Oreochromis niloticus: one gene and its partners. The protein of the gene in region 2 purifies or fractionates together with the protein of the main gene of each other region. This does not show direct contact. Links are inferred from orthologs where the notes say so. Each region holds a gene or a part of one and is shown on either strand. Other genes may lie near its edges.

Region 1 (3,754 bases), on a different chromosome or scaffold from region 2:
GACAATTCTTAAGCAGGTGCGTCTCCAGAATATTTTTAAAAGGGTGGCCATATGGGGGCCACTAAAATATTGGGGTGGCACACCAAAAACAGAATTTCCAGTTTTATTAAGCTGTTGTCAAATATAGGTTACTTGAAAAAGATTTCCTGCTATTAAACTTGATATCACTGAAAACAGGTACATATGAAAACCAAATAATATTTTGAAATCCACTACTGGAAAGCTACCATGTGTACACATCTAAAGAAAATCAGATGATATATTAAGCTCACCGTTCTTTTGCATTAAAGAGAACGTGTTATACTCTTTTCCAGCTCCATTAACAGTTCAAAATAATCCTTATTCGTATAATAGTGGGGCTCACTGCTACCTTCATTATATTTCATCCACTATCTCAAAATTAGCATATAGGGTAGTCTGAAGCCTTTGTTTTTGACTCATATTTTAATATTAGATTAGCGACAATGTAAACTGTTTTAATATATTATAATTATATCACGTACTTTTATTACAGAATTTTGCAATAGCGTGATTTGATAAAATACGACAGTTTAGGTCAATAGTTGAAACAAAATTTCCAACTATTTTAAAAATAGTGCTGCAGCAAAAACAAATATGATGCATTCAAAGCTATCGCGACATGTGAGATTCAACAAATTTAGAATAATTAAATAAAGACGCCTTGGTCTGTAAAATATTTTGTAAAATGTAATTTCTCGTCCAACGTCCCTAAAATAAAAGTAAAGTCGATAAAATACTTATTTTACTCAACATCAAAGATTTCAGGCAGGTTTTTATTTTAAAGTTTTGAAAATATACGAGCTTTTGAAGAGCATTTAAACGCAGCACTATGCGGAAGGAAGGTCAGCCGTTGGACGTCTTATGCGTCACATGCTAGCTAACATTAGCCGTTCCAGAGCCCAAACTTTTAACCTGAGCCGGACACCTACAGCGAGCCTTTCAAATAATCCAAAATGAATGTAATAGATTATGTGCGGGATATGGCTGCAGCAGGCCTTTACTCTAATGTCCGGATTTTGAGTAGTTTGTTGCTGACGATGAGCAACAACAATCCGTAAGTCGTGGTCTGAGCGGGAACCGTCTAATTCCCGAAGACTGCTTTTCAATACCAGTGGTAGCGATACCCCCAAGCTAACTAGTCAACAACAGCTAACATTATTATTTCTACTGAAGCTTTTCATTATCCACTCATTATTGGATAGTGTTTAAATGCGAGTGCAATTTAAATTATATACATTGTTTACACTGTGTGTACTCCTTCACTATATAGTCGCATCTACAAGCGTATGCACTTAACAATGCTGCTATGAAATAGCTTGAAATTTAGCTAGTATTGTATTAGAAAACTTGTCGTAAATGTTCTCTTACCCAGTCATACTTTTGACACTCTAGAGTGACTGACTTAAAAACGGTAACTGTGTAGGACAATTTTTATGAGTTTGTGCATTGATGTTTTTTCGTGTGTCATTCAGTTTTGATGGTTTTCCTCAGTCTGAGCACTTTATTGTTTGTGTGTTGTTGTTTTTTTTAATGGAAGAGAGCTGTTCTCGCCGGCTCAGAAGTACCAGCTGCTGGTTTACCATGCTGATGCCATCTTCCATGACAAAGAGTATCGCAACGCTGCCTGCAAATACAGCATGGCTCTGCAACAGAAGAAGGTGCTCAGCAAAACATCAAAAGTTCGTACTTCAACTGGTGGAGCTGCCTCTAACATACAGGCACAGGTGTGTTTGACAATTTCCTGTAAACAAAAAACCCCTGAAATCTATAATAGCACTTTGGTCACCTGGGGGATTTTATTTTTTATTTTAAATTTGTTATAGAAATCTTTGGCTTGGCTTGGCTTGACACAGAATTGAACATTAGGGTTGCTGACGCCCAACATCTCTCCCGAATTTTTGACTCTTTCCATAGTAATTAAAAGTTGCCTTTCTCATTGAAACATTTAATAATTACATTTGATAAAGTTTGACTGGAGTAATGTAGATCCTTATCAGCCACTAACATTCTGGTAATTTGAGGTGTCTTTACCTGCAGTTGTGTTTTTTTTTGTTTGTTTGTTTTTTTAACAACACTAAAATCTCATTTTACTTTACTTTCACACAACGTAAATCTAAGGCTTTCATCCTGCCAGTGATTTATTAAAATGCCTTAAATGTAAAGATGGTTTTAGATGTCCTGCAGCACCACATGAATATCCAGAGCACAGGATGACTGGTTAGAATAATGTACATCTACAATGAATGTTGTCTTTCAGAGTTTGCCTTCAGAGATTGAGGTAAAGTACAAAATAGCTGAGTGCTACACCATTCTGAAACTGGATAAAGATGCCATTGCAGTGCTCGATGGGATACCATCCAGACAGAGGACTCCGAAGGTACAGTCTGTTAACACAGTGACTGTCAGTCACTGTTTACCTCATGCTTTAGTTTTATGTATTTATTTATTTTTTATACTAACTGATTAGACTAGTAACTGTGTGAATTCAAATAGTTGCTTTAGAACTAAATAATGAATGTACCTACAAGTTTAGGTTTGGTAACAATTCAGCAGTAGTTGTTTTAAAGTAAAATCACCTTCTAAGTAAAAACTAGCAGTATGAAATCTGTTAATTGGAAATAGTGTGACAGTTACAGTTTGAAGCCAAAGACTGGTCTACAGTCAAAAATACGACTGAAATGAATCTTAACAAACCTTACTAAAATTTGTTCACTGATGCTAAAATTTGTTAGTTGGTTGGTTTTCATGATATGCTAGGGTATTAGTTATAAGAACAGAAGTCATTAATTGAAATCAGAAATTACCTACATTCATTCTGACCCCTGAATTCTGGTAAATTTAGGGCCAAAGCAGTGTTGTGTACTAGTTTTCAGAACTCTACTCTTCCTAAGTTATTCGTCCAGTTTTGTTGAAATGGGGCTCATATGATATGGAACTGTATGAAGCTCTATTTAACCTTTTGAAACCAGCTCAAGTGCAGTAACTTGTATAAGTTGTAGTAATTACCTTTTTGCATTCCTTCCTGCCTCAGATCAACATGATGCTAGCTAACCTGTACAGGAAAGCTGGACAGGAGCGATCTGCTGTGACGAGTTACAAAGAGGTCCTCAGACAGTGCCCTCTTGCCTTGGATGCAATCATTGGTATGCATGTTCACCGTAGACTCTGTAATCTCGCAAGCAGCACTTCATCTGCTAAGATGTTTGTACCTGCAGTCCTCTCCTATGTCCATGCCGCTTTAAAACAAACTGTCTGCTTGGATTTAGCATCTCTTTTAAACAATTGAAAAATGTGTTTTTCCTTTAGGTCTTCTCTCTCTGTCAGTCAAAGGAGCCGAGGTGGCTTCCATGACTATGGACGCGATCCAGAGTATCCCCAACCTTGACTGGCTGTCTGTTTGGATCAAAGCGTACGCCTTCATACATGCAGGGGATAACCAGAGAGCTATTAATACCATTTGGTGAGCAAAGCAATAATGATTTGTACACAGTGACTGAATATTGTGAGCCATGTTTTGTGACAGTCTTAACTTCCTCCCTGAAACACTCTCAGCTCTTTGGAGAAGAAATCACTTTTGCGGGACAACGTGGACCTCCTGGTGAGCCTGGCAGATGTCTATTTCAGGGCAGGTGACACGAAAAATGCAATTCTCAAATTTGAACAAGCCCAGATGTTGGACCCTTACCTCATCAAAGGTGCGTTACAGGAGAGAACTTTTTGACTTACACATGTA
Region 2 (3,754 bases):
CACCATGACATCAAATTTTAAAGCCTTGAGCTCAATGTTTTCACTGTCACAGCTTGTCTATCCAGGGTGTGTGTGTACCCCGGATAAACCTCTTTTCTGATTCTACTCCAGGGCAGCTGTAGCTTGGGAGGTAAAGCTACAGCTGCCCTATTTGTAGAGTGGGTGGTTTGATCTTGGCTGCTGCAATCCACATGTCAAGTGTCCTTGGACAAGATACTGAACAACAAATTGGCCCAGTTCAGGATCTACCGGAGAGTGAGCAAGCGTGAGAAAGTTAGAAAAAGCACCTAAAGGCACCGTATGAATGTGTGTGAGAATGGGTGAATGTGGGTGGTGGTAAAAAGTGCTTAGAGTTCTCATTTAACTAGAATTTATAAAATTAACTTCACGTTTTATTCAATGACCTAAAACTAGCACTTGACTCCATAAAGTCATGAGGAAAGTGTTTAGGGAGGGAGCTGAGGGCCAGTTTGCCATGGACAGCACTAAAACTAGAGCAGTTGCCCCCTGCAGGCTGTTAGAAAGAATGCAAGGTTTGAAGTATTTCTGCACAGGATTCCCTTTTCCAGATGTGGACATGCAGTCCATCTTTTATACCGTCTAAAATAATCCAATAGCTCAGGCACCATATCGTGTAAATTTTAAAAATAAATTCAATTCCAACCTTTAAGTTGAGCATTTTGCCGAGCAGGGTGTTCAGCTCCTCAGAGTACCGGTACGGGATCCTTCTGAACTTCCCCTCTCTGATCTTTTCTGCCAGCTCTTTTTGGTTGTAAGCAGTAAAAGGAGGCCTGGAGAGGAAAACGAAAAATGCAGGAAAAACTGCAAGATCTGCAGCCAAACAGTTTGCAGTGGGAAAATCAGCTAAAGCGGAACAGCTGGAAAACTTACGATAAGGCACAGAGTTCGTAGAGCAGACATCCCAGAGACCAAATATCGGACTTCTCGTTGTATGACATCCGGTTTATTTGTTCCTGACAGAAGAAAAGAGATAGTGTTAAATGCTTATTAAGCTATTTGTCCCTATTTTTTTTTATCATGAAGTAAAACAAAGATTAGCAAACAAGAATAAAATCAAAAGTTCAGGCAAGGAAAGTTGTAAGCTCAGGTTAAACGCTTCAAACTCCAGCAGCATGAAGCCACTCACTGGAGACATGTAGTACGGCGTCCCGACAAACGTCTTTGCAAAGCTGGTGTCATGGTTCAGGATCCTCGCCAGGCCAAAGTCACCCAGTTTGACGTTCTGCCTGATGTCGAGGAAGATGTTGGCTGGTTTCAGGTCCCGATGAAGGACGGTGGCCCTGCCGTCACTCCGCCTGTGACACTCCTTCAGGGCCAACGTGAGCTGGGCCATGACTCGCTGGACGAACTGCTCCTCCAAATAGCGCCTGTCAAGGTAATAAACACATGCATACACCTGTGAAGGGAAAGGACACACCAGCATGCAACCTTCAGTATCATTTAGCATTCAACCCCACCTCTCCTTGATGCAGCGGCTGATGAGACTGGACAGGTCGCCGCCTTCGCAGTACTCCATGACGATGTACAGAGTGGTGTTTGTCCGGTCTATGATGCGGTCGTAGTACCTCACTATGTTTGGGTGCTTGAGCTCCCTCAGCAGGTTCACCTCTGACACCAGCATCTGCTTCTCACTCTCAGCCATGGTGCCATAATCCAGCTCCTTCCACACCAGGATCTACGATACAAACCAGCTTTTAATTATCCAGAATTACAGAGGTAAAATTCAAAGAATGGTGGTTATCTGAATCAGAGAGCAGAGAATGTCTTTCAATAAAGACCAGTGTCGTAGACAGAAGACAAGTGGAAGCTATGGAAAAGTAAAGCTAACTTGGGCAACTTGTCTTTACTCTAGAACAGGAGTGGGGGAACTCCAGGCCTGGTGTCCTGCAGGTTTTAGATATGTCCATGATCCAACACAGCTGATTCAAATGGCTAAATTACCTCCTCAACATGTCTTGAAGTTCTCTAGAGGCCTGGTAATGAACTAATCATTTGATTCAGGTGTGATGACTGAGGGTGATATCATAAAATATTCACATATTTTATGTGAATATAAAAATTCACATAAAATATTAAGTCATTAATAACCGACCTTTTTAATGTTAAGCTGCTCATTTCTAAGGTCCACATTACAAGCTAACACCTTAAATTTTCAAACATTTCTGTGACGCTACAGGCAGGTAGCCATTTGTTAACGGTTTGATATAAAGTTTCTTGAGGTGGGGGGAGAAAAAACAACATGACTGCGACAATATTGCCCCGCGGACTAACGGGCAACAGGTGAGTTTAACCCACAGGTGTGCGGGAAGTGTGTTTTACTCACCTTTCCGTCAGCTTTTCGCTTTATTTTCTGGCATCTTCCATATGATCCGGAGCCTATAGTGTGCAGCACCTCGTAGTCCTCCACCCGGGACGGCATGCTGATTTGTAACCGATTCTAACGTTCAAAACTTACCGGACTGGCGTCACCGTCAGCTGACGACAACGTAAATGTAAACTGGGGGTAGCGTCTTCCAATACAGGCTCTCAGTTTAATCCTAAGCCGCCTTTTCTGTCTATGTACATGTTTAAATGGTTAAGATTCATTTACTTATCTTTCTTTCCTCTATCGTGTGTTAACTACCAAAACAGGAAGTGATTACTCTGTTTAAATTGGTGCCGAAATCCTTGATATTGTGATTGGCCTTGCTCGCGCAGCTGATTGGCAGCCGATTGGTCAGCGCAGAGACGCAAATTGTGAGGTTGCAAAGCCCCAGAGTACCGCGAGAGTTGAGCGGGTAGACGACACACAGGAGTTGTGCTCTGGCTCTCCACGAGGTGGCGCCAGAATCGCACGGTCCGGGTGAGCGCAACCGCGCGTTTGGGAGCCGGCATCGGCGCAGCGTGAAGGTAAACGGGGTCAGGAAATTCATTTATTCAGAAAAATTGGATTTTAAGATAGTTTGATAAAAAAAAAAAAGAAGGCGGAACTGGGATTTGCCATTCTTTTTTTTAAATGTATTCCTCTCTGGAGTGGAAGGAGATAGTATGTACAGGGGGTTTTTTGCGCATATTGATAAAAAGAATGCGGTTTTAGTCACGTGTGGCCCGAACGACACCTCAGCAGCACTGCCGGTTTTGAGCTCCCAATAAGATTTAATTTCTCTTTCACAACCAGCTTTATTATGATTTATATATAATAAAATAATAACTATGGGGAGAAAAGATAAAAACCTTTTAGATTGTTTTGCGGAGATATATGGGGATCTAAAAAGTGTCTCTTTTAAATAGACACATAATAACAAAATTAAATATTTTTTTAACCTTTTCTGCAGAATATTTTTTTGAAAATCATCTGAGAATTAATATATTTACTGGCAGTTTTTAGTGTTTATGTAATTCTGTTAGGTTAGTATGACACTGTGGCTTTTATTTTCTACATGTAAGGTATGCACAACATAACTTGAAATATGTAAAGACAAAAAATTTTTACTTGTTTGACAAACGCTTCTGTTTACCTCTTGGGCCTGTCTTTTGTACTGGGGGACTGGGATTTATGGTTTTACAAGGAACAGCAGGAGTAGCTGTCTAGAATATTAATCATGCAAAGAAGGGAACCGCTCAATAATATATCCATAACAAAGGATCAAGTAACTTTTTTTAAGGCTATGTGAAATCATTGGAAAACCTAAATGAGGTCTGAAGCAGTCTGAAAGATCAAATTAAAAACATGCATCTGTGTAAATGTTTGCCA
Region 3 (3,754 bases), on a different chromosome or scaffold from region 2:
ACAGAATACGGAGCTGTGTTTCAGAATAATTGTTTTAATAGTACCTCTCCAGTTGTGTTGGCCAGAGCAATCAGATCCCTCTTGGGAGACCATGCCATACACAGTACAGGGTTAGGAAGTTGCTTCTCTCCTACTTGCCGAAAGGCAGGCATTTTCTTGGCTGAAAAAATGTTAATAAAAATAAGAGATATCAGCTTTCAAAAATACTTGGAAAACACATTTTTTGTTAAGCGTTTCGTGAACGTTTTCTCTGTACAGTTTTGCTTTTATTTGTGTCAGAGCCAAAAAAATCAGCTGAGCCTTTGTTGAAGAATGACACTATTGTGCTTATGTCAAACTCTTTATTTGACAGCAGAAACAAATAGTATGTTCATTACCTCCCTTGAAAAAAATACATTTTTCACTGTGATACTGATCAACAATATTATTACAATTCACAAATCAGACACTACTATCAATCGGTTATTTGCAAAAAGTACAGAAAACTAACTAATTAACAGCTTCAATTTTTTTTTAGCTAATTATTTGTACTATTAGTGTTGTTGACGTTGAAGGAAAAACTAAAGTCAGGTCTCTTAGTAAGATGTTTGGCCACCAAGTGCTGCCAGAACACATTAAATGTACCTTAGCATTGATTTCTTCTCTGCAAATCAATGCTAAGAATGAAAAATTACTAAACAAATACATTCTGAAACTACAGTTACTTGTGTTAAAATGTAGATTCTAAAGAGTCTAATATGTCTTTAAAAATATATGCAATTTCCATGTAGATATATTTTTCCAGTTATAACATGTTCCTTGTCGTCTCTTTTATAAGAGAATGAAGAGGAAAAAAAATTATATATAAAATAACTAGATGATTTATTAACATCTCAATATTACAGCTGTCTTTTTAGCCTTAAATTCAAGGTTAGTACATACAGTATAGTGACCTTCTTAAACACTGATACCACCAGGCTGTTTTTTAATTGATTCACCATTCTGTTTATTTTTTGTGCCGTGGGCTGTTTCAAGCAAGATAAGACACAAGATAAGATATACTAAGATAGATGTAACTAATGCCTGATTCATTTTTGTGAGTGCACTTTTTTTAAATGATCATTATTTACTGATGCTCGTCTCTGCAAAAATTAAATGAAACATATAGAATAATTAAAGAGAAAAAAGGACTCGGTCAGGTCGGAGCTGCTGATACTCGCTGCCAGCTCGGAGCGGCGCTTGAAGTATTAATGCTTTATTAATTAATATAACCTGCAGATAACATACTCATTGTACCTGTCCAAAGAAAACGTTTCTGTAGTGAACCACAGTTTCTGTACAGGTATTTCGGGAAGCAGACAGGTAGGGGTGTTTGAGAAAAGGTAGCAGGGCATTAGCCTCTTAGATCAAATTCAGCCTGCAGAGGTGTAAATCACACCACTGGCTGGTAACTTTTGGCCCCCCTTTCTCCCTTGAAAATAAAATGAATCCACGAGTTTGATTTGGCAGATTTTGCACCAGACGTAACGCTCTCACTTACCAGGGAGCTTTAAAAGAAGGTGAATGTGGTAACCACTACACAACACTCACACCACTTTCAGCTGAATACTGAACTGGCCCCTGTACTGGGGTGTCATATCAAAGTGCCTTGAGACAACTGCTGTTGTGATTTGGCGCTATATAAATAAAACTGAATTGAATTTAAAATTGAATGTCTTTATGATTAAAAAAACTGAAACAAAATCTGAAAATACGCTGAGCTTTCTAAAGGAAAAAAGGGACAGCAGATTATTTTGAAAAACTGCAGTAATTTCTGACATAACTGTAATTTTTACCCACTGCAAAGGCATTCAGTGGGTCACTACTGTTCCTTGAGAGTTATGCTTAACACCCAGGCCAAAGGGGGCAAGTGGAGCCAAACCATGCCCGTAAAATGATCTCATACGCCAAAAAAGATCCCCTTAAACACAGGGTCAAAAGATTCAGAACTTTTCTTTAAGTTGTCATAAATCTGTATCTGTATTGTCGTGGACCTCTAATATGATTATGGAGATCATATTAAACAACACTGTTATAGTGCATTAAGATAAACAGATTCACTGACTGATAAAAATCAGATTTCTTTATAGTTTTCTGACAGGTTCCTGAACCTCATGAGGTTACTTCTTATGATCTCTGTTAAAAACAGCCAGGCATTAAAAAATAAAAATAAATAAAATATCTAAACCTAAACCACAACCTAAATCTAAACTAATCTGAAGCTTCACTTACCGTTTAAAGCTGACAGATGAGATCTTTCTGTTCCACTGATATTATGCTAGCGGTTTTGCTAGCAAGCTAATGCAGAAAGAAGGCCATGGATAATATTTTTTATGATTTAGGACATTACAAGCGGGGAAATATGATAACCATAATACGACACAGTGAGTTCCAAACTGTCTTGCGCCGCCGAAATTTTAATTTTAAGGCGGCTTCGCGATGTTTTTACAACTACGCGGACGCCGCCATTTTTTTCTTTTAACCAATCATTGCGGAGCGACGGCGGAAAGCAAGGGACAAATTTACTAAGAGAGAAACGCAATTTAATGAAACTTGAAATGACAACTGGAAAAGTGCAGATGGCACAAAGTTGTACTTCTCACTTCTCTCCTCTGATGATTTAAAATGTTTTCACAAACTAATGAGCTGCATCGATTACATTGACTAGTGAATTTATCAAATGTGTTTAGAACTGAACAGAAACAAGATACAAATACTTGTTGTTTGTCCAAAAAGTCAAAGACAAAAAATTTGTTCTTATTTGTCATCAGTTTCTCTGAAACACAGTGAGCAAGTCAGGAACCTTGGCATCATTTTGGACAATGATCTCAGTTTTGATAATCCCATCAATAAGGTTACCTTGACTAAAAATATGTCTAAGGTTAGAAAACTTCCATCACAAGCTGACTCTGAGAAACTGGTCCATGCATTCACATCAGGTAGGTTAGATTATTGCAATGCTATGTGTGACCTCTCAGGTCATTTGATTTAGACTTTTTAACTGTTCTTAGAATCAGATCTAAGTATGCTGAAGGTAGGTTCAGTTATTGTGGTCCTATTCTTTGGAACAAGCTACCTGCTGACTTGAGACCAATTACATTTGTATGTACATTCAAAAACTGAGTAAAAACCTTTCTATTCACACAGTCCTACAATTTATAAGTTTGTTTGTTTTTTTATTTTTTATTTTTTTAAATTTTGTTTTGTTCTGCTTTGCTGTTTTCACTGCCTTAGGGCACTTTAAACCTACAGAGTTATTAATATTTTTTCATTTTCATGTCGACTTTTCATGTAATGAAATGTGCTATATAAATAAAATTGTCATTGTCATTGTTATATGCAACACATGGCCCTTTCTGTATTGTTATACACCAACTAAAAAAAGCAGAGACTTGTCAATTTTATGTCTGTATTCTTTAATGATTGAATTTAATGAGTCTAAAAACAACTGAAGACTGAAGCAAACGGTTTTTAGCACTTAAAAAAGCAGACAGATGTGCAAAGCCATTTTAAACTGACACTAAAGAGTTTTAGCCATTCTTAATCTTCAGAAATCCATTGCAAAGAAACTGTTTTGTGTTGTTCACATTCATTTATGCACGTTTTAACATGTCTGTTTTTGTGCAGCAGTAGAAACAGCAGAAACACTTCAGCTGTAATAAATAACTCAGGAGCTTTTGACTTCCTGGGTGTATACCTGGTTTATTTATGGAACACATTTTCATTATTTTGTGTC

What was found. The genes of interacting proteins can lie anywhere in the genome.
Region 1: the proteins of nek2 (region 2) and anapc7 purify together in Homo sapiens (affinity purification with mass spectrometry; 3 studies listed by BioGRID and IntAct, with this or other methods). This does not show direct contact. The link is inferred for Oreochromis niloticus from reciprocal best matches to the Homo sapiens genes NEK2 and ANAPC7.
Region 3: the proteins of nek2 (region 2) and anapc4 purify together in Homo sapiens (affinity purification with mass spectrometry; 6 studies listed by BioGRID and IntAct, with this or other methods). This does not show direct contact. The link is inferred for Oreochromis niloticus from reciprocal best matches to the Homo sapiens genes NEK2 and ANAPC4.

What each region holds. Positions count from the first base shown.
Region 1 is NC_031977.2:6,448,715-6,452,468, forward strand, and holds the start of anapc7 (anaphase-promoting complex subunit 7), read left to right. Parts: upstream 1-857; 5' UTR 858-974; coding exon 975-1,075; intron 1,076-1,558; coding exon 1,559-1,745; intron 1,746-2,278; coding exon 2,279-2,398; intron 2,399-3,052; coding exon 3,053-3,164; intron 3,165-3,327; coding exon 3,328-3,481; intron 3,482-3,573; coding exon 3,574-3,716; intron 3,717-3,754. UniProt on the Homo sapiens protein: Component of the anaphase promoting complex/cyclosome (APC/C), a cell cycle-regulated E3 ubiquitin ligase that controls progression through mitosis and the G1 phase of the cell cycle.
Region 2 is NC_031980.2:13,554,002-13,557,755, forward strand, and holds the start of nek2 (serine/threonine-protein kinase Nek2), read right to left. Parts: upstream 2,649-3,754; 5' UTR 2,441-2,648; coding exon 2,345-2,440; intron 1,941-2,344; exon of another isoform or gene 1,850-1,940; intron 1,697-1,849; coding exon 1,479-1,696; intron 1,389-1,478; coding exon 1,148-1,388; intron 975-1,147; coding exon 892-974; intron 792-891; coding exon 665-791; intron 1-664. UniProt on the Homo sapiens protein: Protein kinase which is involved in the control of centrosome separation and bipolar spindle formation in mitotic cells and chromatin condensation in meiotic cells.
Region 3 is NC_031986.2:37,126,180-37,129,933, reverse strand, and holds the start of anapc4 (anaphase-promoting complex subunit 4), read right to left. Parts: upstream 2,515-3,754; 5' UTR 2,251-2,514; intron 161-2,250; 5' UTR 153-160; coding exon 45-152; intron 1-44. UniProt on the Homo sapiens protein: Component of the anaphase promoting complex/cyclosome (APC/C), a cell cycle-regulated E3 ubiquitin ligase that controls progression through mitosis and the G1 phase of the cell cycle.